Linked DNA regions of Ovis aries. The protein of the gene in region 3 purifies or fractionates together with the protein of the main gene of each other region. This does not show direct contact. Links are inferred from orthologs where the notes say so. Each region holds a gene or a part of one and is shown on either strand. Other genes may lie near its edges. The genes, in order: RAB11FIP1, PI4KB and RAB11B.

The links.
Region 1: the proteins of RAB11B (region 3) and RAB11FIP1 purify together in Homo sapiens (affinity purification with mass spectrometry; 3 studies listed by BioGRID and IntAct, counting the BioPlex papers as one, with this or other methods). This does not show direct contact. The link is inferred for Ovis aries from reciprocal best matches to the Homo sapiens genes RAB11B and RAB11FIP1.
Region 2: the proteins of RAB11B (region 3) and PI4KB purify together in Homo sapiens (co-immunoprecipitation; 3 studies listed by BioGRID and IntAct, with this or other methods). This does not show direct contact. The link is inferred for Ovis aries from reciprocal best matches to the Homo sapiens genes RAB11B and PI4KB.

Annotation. Positions count from the first base shown.
Region 1 is NC_056079.1:32,209,422-32,211,878, reverse strand, and holds part of RAB11FIP1 (rab11 family-interacting protein 1), read left to right. Parts: intron 1-1,009; coding exon 1,010-1,228; 3' UTR 1,229-2,457. UniProt on the Homo sapiens protein: A Rab11 effector protein involved in the endosomal recycling process. Also involved in controlling membrane trafficking along the phagocytic pathway and in phagocytosis. Interaction with RAB14 may function in the process of neurite formation.
Region 2 is NC_056054.1:101,206,170-101,209,820, reverse strand, and holds part of PI4KB (phosphatidylinositol 4-kinase beta), read left to right. Parts: intron 1-104; coding exon 105-370; intron 371-3,406; coding exon 3,407-3,539; intron 3,540-3,651. UniProt on the Homo sapiens protein: Phosphorylates phosphatidylinositol (PI) in the first committed step in the production of the second messenger inositol-1,4,5,-trisphosphate (PIP). May regulate Golgi disintegration/reorganization during mitosis, possibly via its phosphorylation.
Region 3 is NC_056058.1:14,761,895-14,766,046, reverse strand, and holds the start of RAB11B (ras-related protein Rab-11B), read right to left. Parts: upstream 2,832-4,152; 5' UTR 2,817-2,831; coding exon 2,777-2,816; intron 1-2,776. UniProt on the Homo sapiens protein: The small GTPases Rab are key regulators of intracellular membrane trafficking, from the formation of transport vesicles to their fusion with membranes.

The DNA.
Region 1 (2,457 bases), on a different chromosome or scaffold from region 3:
AACTTTCACATCCATACATGACTACTGGAAAAACCATAGCTTTGACTAGACAGACTTTGTTGGCAAAGTAATATCTCTGCTTTTTAATATGCTATCTGGGTTGGTCATAACTTTTCTTCCCAGGAGCAAGCGTCTTTTAATTTCATGGCTGCAGTCACCATCTGCAGTGATTTTGGAGCCCAAGAAAATAAAATCTGTCACTGTTTCCATTGTTTCCCCATCTGTTTGCCATGAAGTGATGGGACTGGATGCCATGATCTTAGTTTTCTGAATGTTGAGCTTTAAGCCAGCTTTTTCACTCTCCTCTTTCACTTTCATCAGGAGGCTCTTTAGTTCTTCACTTTCTGCCATAAGAGTGGTGTCATCTGCATATCTGAGGTTATTGATATTTCTCCCGGCAATCTTGATTCCAGCTTGTGCTTCATCCAGTCCAGCATTTCTCATGATGTACTCTGCATATAAGTGAAATATAAGTTAAATATACCAACCTCGTGGTAGGGCCAAAAGGAAAAAAAAAAAGAAAGAAAAGGTAATGAAACAAAAAAACCAAACCAAAAGACGAACATGCAGCAAAGGCCATCTGTGGCCTGGGCAACGTGAGATACTAACTCTCTGGCCCTTTACAGAAAGCTTCGTTGGCACAGATTTTCACTGAAATTGCAAATGAATTCCCAGGAGACTCAGATCACAGACTCAATCACTAAAAGCTACCTCTTCTGTATTTCTTTTATTTACTTATAACTAGTTATTTGTTCATAAATATTTACTTGGCTCTGCCAGGTTTTAGCTGAGCCACACAGGGTCTTAGTTGTGCCTTGTGGACTCTTAGTTGTAGCATGTGGGATCTAGTTCCCTGGCTGGGGACTGAACCTGGGTCCCCTGCATTGGGAACGTGGAGTCTTAGCTACTGGACCACCAAGGAAGTCCCGGTATTTCTCTGAGATGTTTGACCTCTTGGCTGACTTTGTCAATTTTCTTGTTGTCTCCCCTTCCCGCCCTCCCGCCAAAGAAATACAAGCCCTCGGACCCTGCATTTGCCTACGTGCAGCTGACCCACGACGAGCTCATTCAGCTGGTCCTCAAACAGAAGGAAACGATCAGCAAGAAGGAATGTCAGGTGCGCCAACTGGAAGACTACATCGACAACCTGCTGGTCAGGGTCATGGAGGAGACCCCGAACATCCTCCGGGTTCCCTCTCAGGTCGGCAAAAAAGCAGGAAAGATGTGATCCGCCGGCCTCCAGCATCGAGACTCTGCCGTGAGTCTGTCTCCACCAGCTCCTGAGGCCGAGGACTCGCTGTGCCCGACAGCCGGGCACAGATTGCCATCTTCCTCCTAGGTTATCTGGCAGGAGTCCCTCCCACCCACGTAAGCCAGGTCAATGACTACAATGGATCTTTTCACTGTCCATTCCCAGGGTTTCATTTTTAAATGCCACTGTGCCTTTAACCACGTTGTAAATATTTTATGGTCTGACCGGAGACATGGTCATAAGATCTGATCCTGGCCCAGAGGTTCAGATGGCACTGGGGGGTATTAATTAATGTATTTTAAACATTGGGATTTTCTTTCTTTGAATTTGAGATTTTTAAAGTACATCTCCCCCCGGTCTTTAAAGCTTCAGGTGAGATGACAAGGACCAGGCGATTGGGGCTGTGTTGCACATACCTTCTTGGCATTTGAGTAGCTCAGGCTTGGCATTTTGGCTGCAGATGCTAAATTTTTGATACCTTGTAAACGTGCTTGACTCCTCGGACTTGGTCTTTTGTTTTGACTGGAGCAGAGGAGTGCAGAGTGTGCCTTTGAGATTTATAACAAGCTGCTTTTTCCAGACATCAGCCTCTACACCACAGTAGCCTTTAAAATCTGCTCTTTATCAATGGAGAGGGGCTGTCTATGGAGGGAAGCAGACCAGGAGACTTAGAGTCACTTTGCACTCAAGGGAATTGGTCAAAACCCCTCCTCTGGTGATCACAGAGCCCCTGTGACTGGAGTGGCCGAGACAGTGCCTTGATTAGCCATCGAGTGCCCCAGGCGCTTGCTAAAATGGTTCTACCAGGTGTGGAGCGATGGCAGGGGGTCCGTTGGCCCTCTCCCCCCATGTCTTCGCTTGGCTCCCTGGTTTCCTTGGCAGCTCTTCGTGGCCTCTTCCCTCCTTAGTATAACATTGTGAAGAGCAAGATGATATCTATTTTTAGATGGCTGTGTTTTTAAAACTAGATTGACACACTTTTTTTTTTTTTTTTTAAACTAGGACCCCTTAACTAATAGCACCAGTTCAGATTCTTCAGGGCTTCCCTGGTGGTTCAGCGGTAGAGAATCCTGCTGCCAATGCAGGAGATGGGGGTTCTATCCCTGGGTTGGGAAGATCCCCTGGAGACTCTTCAGGTAATTTCATTGTTAGTAACCCGATATTAGAATGTTTTCTATATTACTCATTTTTTGTTGTTGTTCCAG
Region 2 (3,651 bases), on a different chromosome or scaffold from region 3:
TCCAAGGCCACCAAGGATGGGAACTGTCTGAGATTGGGAACAGAAGGGATGTTGGCCTCATCCTCTCATTTAGAGTCTTAATGCCACTGTGTGCTTCCTCACAGTCCATTTGGGAACAGGAGCGAGTACCCCTGTGGATCAAGCCATATAAGATCCTCGTGATCTCGGCCGACAGTGGCATGATTGAACCGGTGGTCAACGCTGTGTCCATACACCAGGTGAAGAAGCAGTCGCAGCTCTCCCTGCTCGATTACTTCCTACAGGAGCATGGCAGCTACACCACTGAGGCCTTCCTCAGCGCCCAGCGCAATTTTGTGCAGAGTTGTGCTGGCTACTGCTTGGTCTGCTATCTGCTGCAGGTCAAGGACAGGTAGGTGAATTCCTGTCCCTCATCCTTAGCTTTTCTCCAGGGTTTCCTGTCTCCCCATTTATTCATCACCACCTTCCACTGCCAAGATATGAAGATGAAACAAACACATTTTAGGTCGAGACAGATGTATTCCTGTGCTGTTAAGGCAAGGAGGCAGACTGACAAGTACCAGGGCAAGGGGCAAAGAAGTGAAGCATTTATGGGAGGAGCAGGGGTCTGAGCATGCAGAGTCTTGAAAGACAAAGGAGAATGAGGACAGAGAAAGCTGTGGATGGAAAAGGAAGGATGTTCCAGGCAGAGGAAACAGCTCGAGATCCTTTAAGCACGAGCCACACTGCATGGCACAGTAACAGTGACGTCACGTAAGTCGAGGCTGGATTAGTAGGGCCTTCATGAGGCCCAGGAGGTTTATTCTGCAGGCAGAGGAAACACCGTGAGCCAGTCTGTGTTGAGTGAGTGTGCCCTGTGGCACTGTGGGCAGGGTGGATCAGTGGACCTTCAGCTGTCAAACAAGAGGTGATGAGGCCTGGTGTGAGGGCAGTGGTAGAGACTGAGAGCAGAGAGGAGCAGATGAATATGAAAGACACGGTGGACACAAGTTGAAACTCCCAGCTCTGAATTCTCCTCTTGTGGCATATGATTTCCAAAACTCAAGTTGTTTTGCGCAGAGCTGCCATTTCTGCCAGTATCATGTGACCTTTAGGAAGCTCGTCTTTGCACATAGGTGAACAACATACCACACAAAGGTTGTTACACCCTTGAGGCCCTGTTTTTAAGACTGTCTCCAGACAGTGACTCAGGGTCAGTACTGGACTGCAGCTGTGAGTTGTGCCTCTCAGGGCACAGGGCAGCTGTCCTGGGAAAGCACTAGCCCAGTGGCCTGTGCTTCCAGGGTTCCCAGTGGCATGGCAGCACATTAAGGTTAGCCAGCGGAGCCGCTTATCAGAGATCTAGCATCTGTTAGGTGCCTGCGATGCCTGACATTGTTTAAAATTGAAGTATAGTTGATTTGCAATATCATGTTAGTTTCAAGTATACGGCAAAGCGATTCAGTTATGTATATATATGTATGTGTGTGCGTGCATACACAGAAGCCTGGTGGGTTCAGTCCATGGAGCTGCAGAGTCAGACACGACTTAGTGACTAAACTATGTGTGTGTGTGTGTGTGTTGCTTAGTCGTGTCCAATTCTTTGCAACCCCATAGACTGTAGCTCACGAGGCTCCTCTGTCTATGGAATTCTCCAGGCAAGACTACTAGAGTGGGTCGCCTAGAGGATCTTCCCAACCCAGGGATTGAACCCAGGTCTCCCACATTGCAGGCAGATTCTTTACCATCCGAGTCACAGGGATATATATACACAGACACACATACATATTCTTTATCAGATTCTTTTCCATTATAGATTAATACAAGATATTGAATATATTTCCCTGTGCTATACAATAAATTCTTGTTTATTTTATATAAAGCAGTGTGTATCTGTTAATCCCTCCTAATTTATCCTCCCTTCCCCTCTGGTAACCATTGATTTTCTGTGTCTGTGAGTCTATTCCTGTTTTGTAAATAAGTTCACTTATTACTCTACCATAATATTTATCTTTTTGTCTGACTTATTTCAGTTAGTGTGATGATTTCTAGGTCCATGCATGTTGCTGCTAATGGCATTATTTCATTCCGTTTTTATGGCTGAGTAAAACTTGGTTCCAAGCTTTAGACTGTCTCTCAAGAGTCAGGATTTGGAACCCAGGGCCCAGAGAGCCTAGAGCCTGAGCCCCTATGTTGAGTAAGTGGGGGCAGGGAAGCAGGTGATACTCAGGCCTCTGGGCTTTTCTTTAGGAAACTAATATATTTAAACGATGAGAGTCCATCCTTTAAAAGTGGAGGAAGAGACGGGCAGCTGGTAAATCTTTCATTATAACTCAAAAAAGAATAGAGGTAGTTAAGTCCTGAATGGACTCATCCACTGGTGAGAAGCCTCAGCAGTGAAGGGGCCCCCGAACGAGTGTTTCAGAATGAGGGCCCTGCAGCAGTGCAGCGGTTAAGGAGGGAAGCGTGACTGCCCTTCATCCACTGGCTTGGGGCCTTTCACAAGTCAGTCGTTTCTTCTCTCAGGGCTTGTCTCCTCACCTGTAAAATGCGAGGCTGGACTAGGACATCTGGGGCTTTCTGGCTCTCAAGATTGAGTGTTGCTGAATTTGTTATGCTTCCCCAGAAGGGTAGAGACTCAGATGGGACTGGGTTATCCCTGTCCCTCTTCTTTTGGCCAGTCAAACCAACCCCAGAGAAGGTGGCCTCAGACCGTGAGCTCTTAGCCTAACAAAGCCTCTTTTGACTCTGAGGAGGTCCCTTATGGGCCAGGCCTCACATGCTTAGCATGTTAATTTTTCCCCTCCGACTGGCCATTCATATAGGAATCACAAAGACCTGGGATTTCTCTCTTGTCTTCATGCAGCTAGCCTGTAGGAATTGCCTCCTGGGAATTTTTTTACATAAGTGGTTTTACCAGACAGTTAAAGCTGACTCTTTGAAGCCCCCACACTATTTTACATTTAAACTCCACTCAGCCTGGGATTGCTGTTCCCTTCCAGTGGGGTTTCTGATTTGCAGTGGGCCAACAGGAATTACAAACAAAACACAGGTAATTAGGTTGTAACTGGCCGCCTCCCACTAAGCCAAGTGCTTGGCCTCTGTGACAGCTGGCCAGAGTGCAGAGGCTGGCTTTTCTAGCTTTCCAGTTCTTTACTAGATTGGGATTGGGTGCTTAGAAGCGCGATTATTGGGAAATGGGGATAATCTTAAAACTCTGTTATTGTTAATGATAGCAAGTGAGACCCCATTGCCTTTGTTAGCAGTCTACTTTTCTAATTTCCTTTCTTCCTCCTGCCAGCTTTGGGTTCTAGGGGCTGGACCCAGAGTTCAGCAGGAAAAGTGGCAGGGCCCTTGCCTGGTGTCGTGTGGCCAGTGTGTTGCAGCTTCAGCTCCCACCTCAATCGGACTTCCTACTGTCTCTTCCTCCCATCTGCCCCCTCCTCAGACACAATGGGAACATCCTGTTGGATGCAGAAGGCCACATCATCCACATCGACTTTGGCTTCATCCTGTCCAGCTCACCCCGAAACCTGGGCTTTGAGACATCAGCCTTCAAGCTGACCACGGAGTTTGTGGACGTGAGTGAGGAAAGAGAGGTGCCTCACTGTGGTGTCATGGGAGGGGCAACTGGTAGTCTCTCCGCAAGTGGGAACAAACAGATCAGAAATGGGAGTAAGTCAGGGTGAGGTT
Region 3 (4,152 bases):
TCCACTCGCCATATTTATGGCCAGTGATGCGATGGTGGCAGCTCACCTGCCTGGTGTCTTCCTTCTTTATTTCCCAGAGTCAGAATTTCCTTTTCCTATTTAACTGAGTGGATTCACAGACAAATATTAAAAGATAATTGGCGGGGGGCGGGGGTCCTTCCCTGGTGGCTCAGTGGTAAAGAACTGCCTGCCAGTGTAGGAGACACAGGTTCGACCCCTGGTCCAGGATGATCCCTCATGCCACTGGGCAGCTAAGCCTGTGTGCCACAATTATTGAGCCTGGGAGCCGAAACTACTGAAGTACGCATGCCCTAGTGTCTATGCTCTGCAACAAGAGAAGCCATAGCAATGAGAAGCCCACAGAAAGTAGCCCCCGCTTGCCGCAACAAGAGAAAATTCTGCACAGCAACAAAGACCTAGCACAGCCAAAAATAAATAATAGAGGGTCAAAAAATAATAGAGAGGTCCTCTCACAAGGCATTAAGTGTGAAGGTGAGGTCTCAGATGACCAGACTGGGAACCGCTGACCTTGTGGGTTAGACTGTCACTTCTGACCCAGTTCAAGGTCAGCAGGGCACCTGCTGGAGCGCAGGCGGAGAGGGCAGTGGGGCAGGCAGGCATTGCCCCCTGGGGCCAGTTGTCCCTGAAGTATTTCCAGAAAGAGGACTCAGGAGATGGGTCCTGGGAAGCGCACAGCCCAGTTCCAGTGCCCCTGACCCAGTAACTGTACTTCTGGGAACAGACTTCAAGGAAATAAACCACAGGACAAAAGATGACTCGTGCAAACACTTGGAACTGGATTATTAACAACAACAAATGGTTGTGTTCCGAGTGGGCCTGGAATTAGCTCTCAAGGGTGGCCAATGTCAGCTGGGGAGCCCAGCTCAGCAGCATAGGACCTGATCAAAGCCTAGGTTGGCACAGAATGCTCTGGAAAGTCAGTGACCCCTAAACCAGCCCTGCAAATAACAAGTGAGGAAGGACCACAGAAACACTGGGAGGGGGAATTTCCCTGGTGGTCCAGTGGCTAAGACGCCATGCTCCCAATGCAAGGGGGCCAGGGTTCGATCCTTGGTCAGGGTACTAGATCCCACATGCCGCAACTAAGTCCTGATGCAGCCAAATAAATAATATTTAGAAAAGAAAAGAGACCCTGGGAGGAACAGCCCCTGCCCAGGCCTGCCTCAGCAGTTACACATGCAGGTGGGGGCCAGTCAGCACCTGGGGAGCAGTCCCCTGGAGTAGGCTGGGTAGACACAGGCACCATCTGCTGCAGGACTGGCATCCAGGTCACCTGTCACCCACCCTCAAAGCCCTGACAGAGTGTCCATTCTCGCCTCTAAAGTGAGACCCCCCAGGACTCAGTCAGCACCTGAGCCCAATGCCTGCCGACCACAGAGCCTCACCTGCTGGCAACCTATGAGCTTGCAAGCAGCTCCTGGAGCCCACAATGCTGTGTGACAGAGTGGCACAGGGACTCCCTCTGCCCAGAAACCGTTCACCACTGGAGAGCCCACTTTCTACATCCCCAAGGTCCCCAGAACCCCAGACTCAACCGGGGATGATACCACAGACACATGGTGACGAACACACTACATTCACAGCCATGACCAAGCTCCCCCAATGAGGCAAAGTTGCCAAAGGCTGGCATGGGAGGTAGCATGGCAAGGGTGTCCTGAGTGGGTCTGAAGTTAGCTCTCAAGGGTGGCCAGTGTTGGCCAGGGAGCACAGCTCAGCGGCACAGGACCTGGCCAAAGCCCAGGTTGGCACAGAAGGCTCTGGAAAGTCAGTGACCCCAAAGCCAGCCCAGCAATGGATGCCTGACCTGCCCACCTCTTACTTGAAGCTCCTAGAGCCCTCTGTTCCCTGGCCAAGAAAGATCCTTCGGTAGGCTGGAGGAGGAGGTCTGACAACCCCACTCAGATCTGACAACCCCAGATACACTGCTTAAGTGGTCTGGGTTCAAATCCTGCTCCAGCACATAAACTGTGCCTGTTTCCAGGTTCGTAAAGAGAAAGACTGGATAATACAATACCGACCTCACAGGGTGGTGGCGAGGGCTTCAATGAATTCACGTGTGTAAAGTGCTTAGAAAAGTGCAGGTACTTGGAGAGTGCTCTTAAGAGTTCTAAGAGTTAACCATCAGGTCTGGGTTTAGCACACAGTCCCTAACTCCCGGCACCTCCCCCAACTCAGGTGCCCCTCAACGCATTTCCGACTCCACTTCCCAATCCAGGGTCCAGGCCCCCCCACACACACCTTGACCCCCATTGTTCGCCCCTACCTTCCCGGGCAACCTACAGATGCACTGCCACTAATCAAAACAGGCCCCTCCCACTCGGTGAGAGCACCGCCCCCATTCGCCCAGCCCATTTCTTGGACACGCCCACCACATCCTAGCACCGCCTCTAACGGCCCCGCCCCCATCACGAAGGGAGCTTTCCACTCAGCCCGGCCCGCCAAATGCTGGGGCGGCCCCGCCCCTCTGAAGGCACCGCCCCTAACGGCCTCTCCCACTGCCCGGGGCCCCACCCCCTCTGGGCCCTAGCCCCGCCTCGGCGCATCCCGGGCCCCCAAGCCTCTCTGGGCAGCCGGCCTCGCATGGCCGCGCACCCTGGCCCGAACTTGACCAAGACCGGCCTTCACTGGCTTTCCCGGCTGCCCGGCCTGCCGGGCCCCAAGCTTTGGGCTCCGGCCTAGGCCCAGAGGCCTGAAGCGCAGCCTCAGCTCCTGCCTACTACCGCCCGCTTGCCCGTCTGTGCCCCACCGACCGCACCTTTGAATAGGTAGTCGTACTCGTCGTCCCGGGTCCCCATTGTCCTGGCGCTTCCGGCGGGATCGGCGACTCCGCAGCCCCACCACAAACACCCGACGGGGGCGGAGCCGGCGCCGCGCAGAGCGGCGGCCGAATGGCCAATCAACGGTGGGTGGTGTAGCGACCGGCACCCAGGGCAGCCAATAAGAGACGGAAGCAGAGCCTCCGGGGTGGGCGCCTCCGGAGACCCACCTTCTTCGCCCTCGGTCTCCTGGAGAAAGGCGGAAGGAATGCGGACCTTTCCGAAGTGACAGCTTCACCAGCCTATCAGAAGCGAGTTCTGGAAGGCGGGGCGGAAGACTGGAAGAATGGAACGGATTGACGGGGGGAGTAGCCAATGAGAGGTTTGATTCTGATGGTACCGGGCCATCAGAGGACCTGTCCGGGAAGGGAAATAGGGCTACGTCCAGGTAGTGTTACGCTATTTAACGTCCCGATGACGTCATAGGTCAATGCGCGCTGCTCTGCGGTACGCTCACTCCCACCCTCGCTGCCCCAGTAAATGACAGCTCCTGGAGTCTGCGTGTGGACCTTTTCTTCTTAGAGGTCCCCTTCTTTCTGGGTTGCAGTTTCCATCCCTGCAGTGGCCTCAGTTTCCTCACTCTGTATAACAGGGAAGAAACCTTAGGGAATCTTGGAGTATAACTAGATCATTTACCTAAACAGATACTTAATCTACCACCCACCGTCAGTCATTGGGTCTTTGTTTAACAAATATTTATAAATCCTTACTGGATGTCAGAATCCCACTGCCAAGCGGGAGACGCAGGTTTGACTCTGGAGAAGGAAATGGCAACCCACTCTAGTATTCTTGCCTGAAGAATCCCATGAACAGAGGAGCCTGGTGGGCTACAGTCCATAGGGTCGCAAAGAGTTGGACACGACTGAGTGACTAAACAACAACATGTGGGATGTCAGACACTCTCCCCTTCTCTGTCTCTTTATCCTGCTTTATTCCACATCTCCTCCCCCGTAAGGAGGATTTATTTATCTTCCCTTGACATTAAAGTATGTATTTCCCTCTCAATCCTGTTAATAAACAAAATTCAACTGAGTAAATGTGAAGATCTTATTGCCCTTATTAAAAGATTCATGAATCAAGCAGCATCTCATCTATCAAACAAAGATAATTCCCAGATGGTTGTGGTGTTCAGTAACTCAGTTGTGTCCAACTCTTTGCGATCCCATGGGCTGCAGCACCCCAGGCTTCCCTGTCCGTCACCATCTCCCAGAGTTTGCTCAAAATCATGTCCATTGAGTCAGTGATGCCATCCAGCTATCGCATCCTCTGTTGCCCCCTTCTCCTCCTGCCTTCAATCTTTCCCCGCATCAGTGTC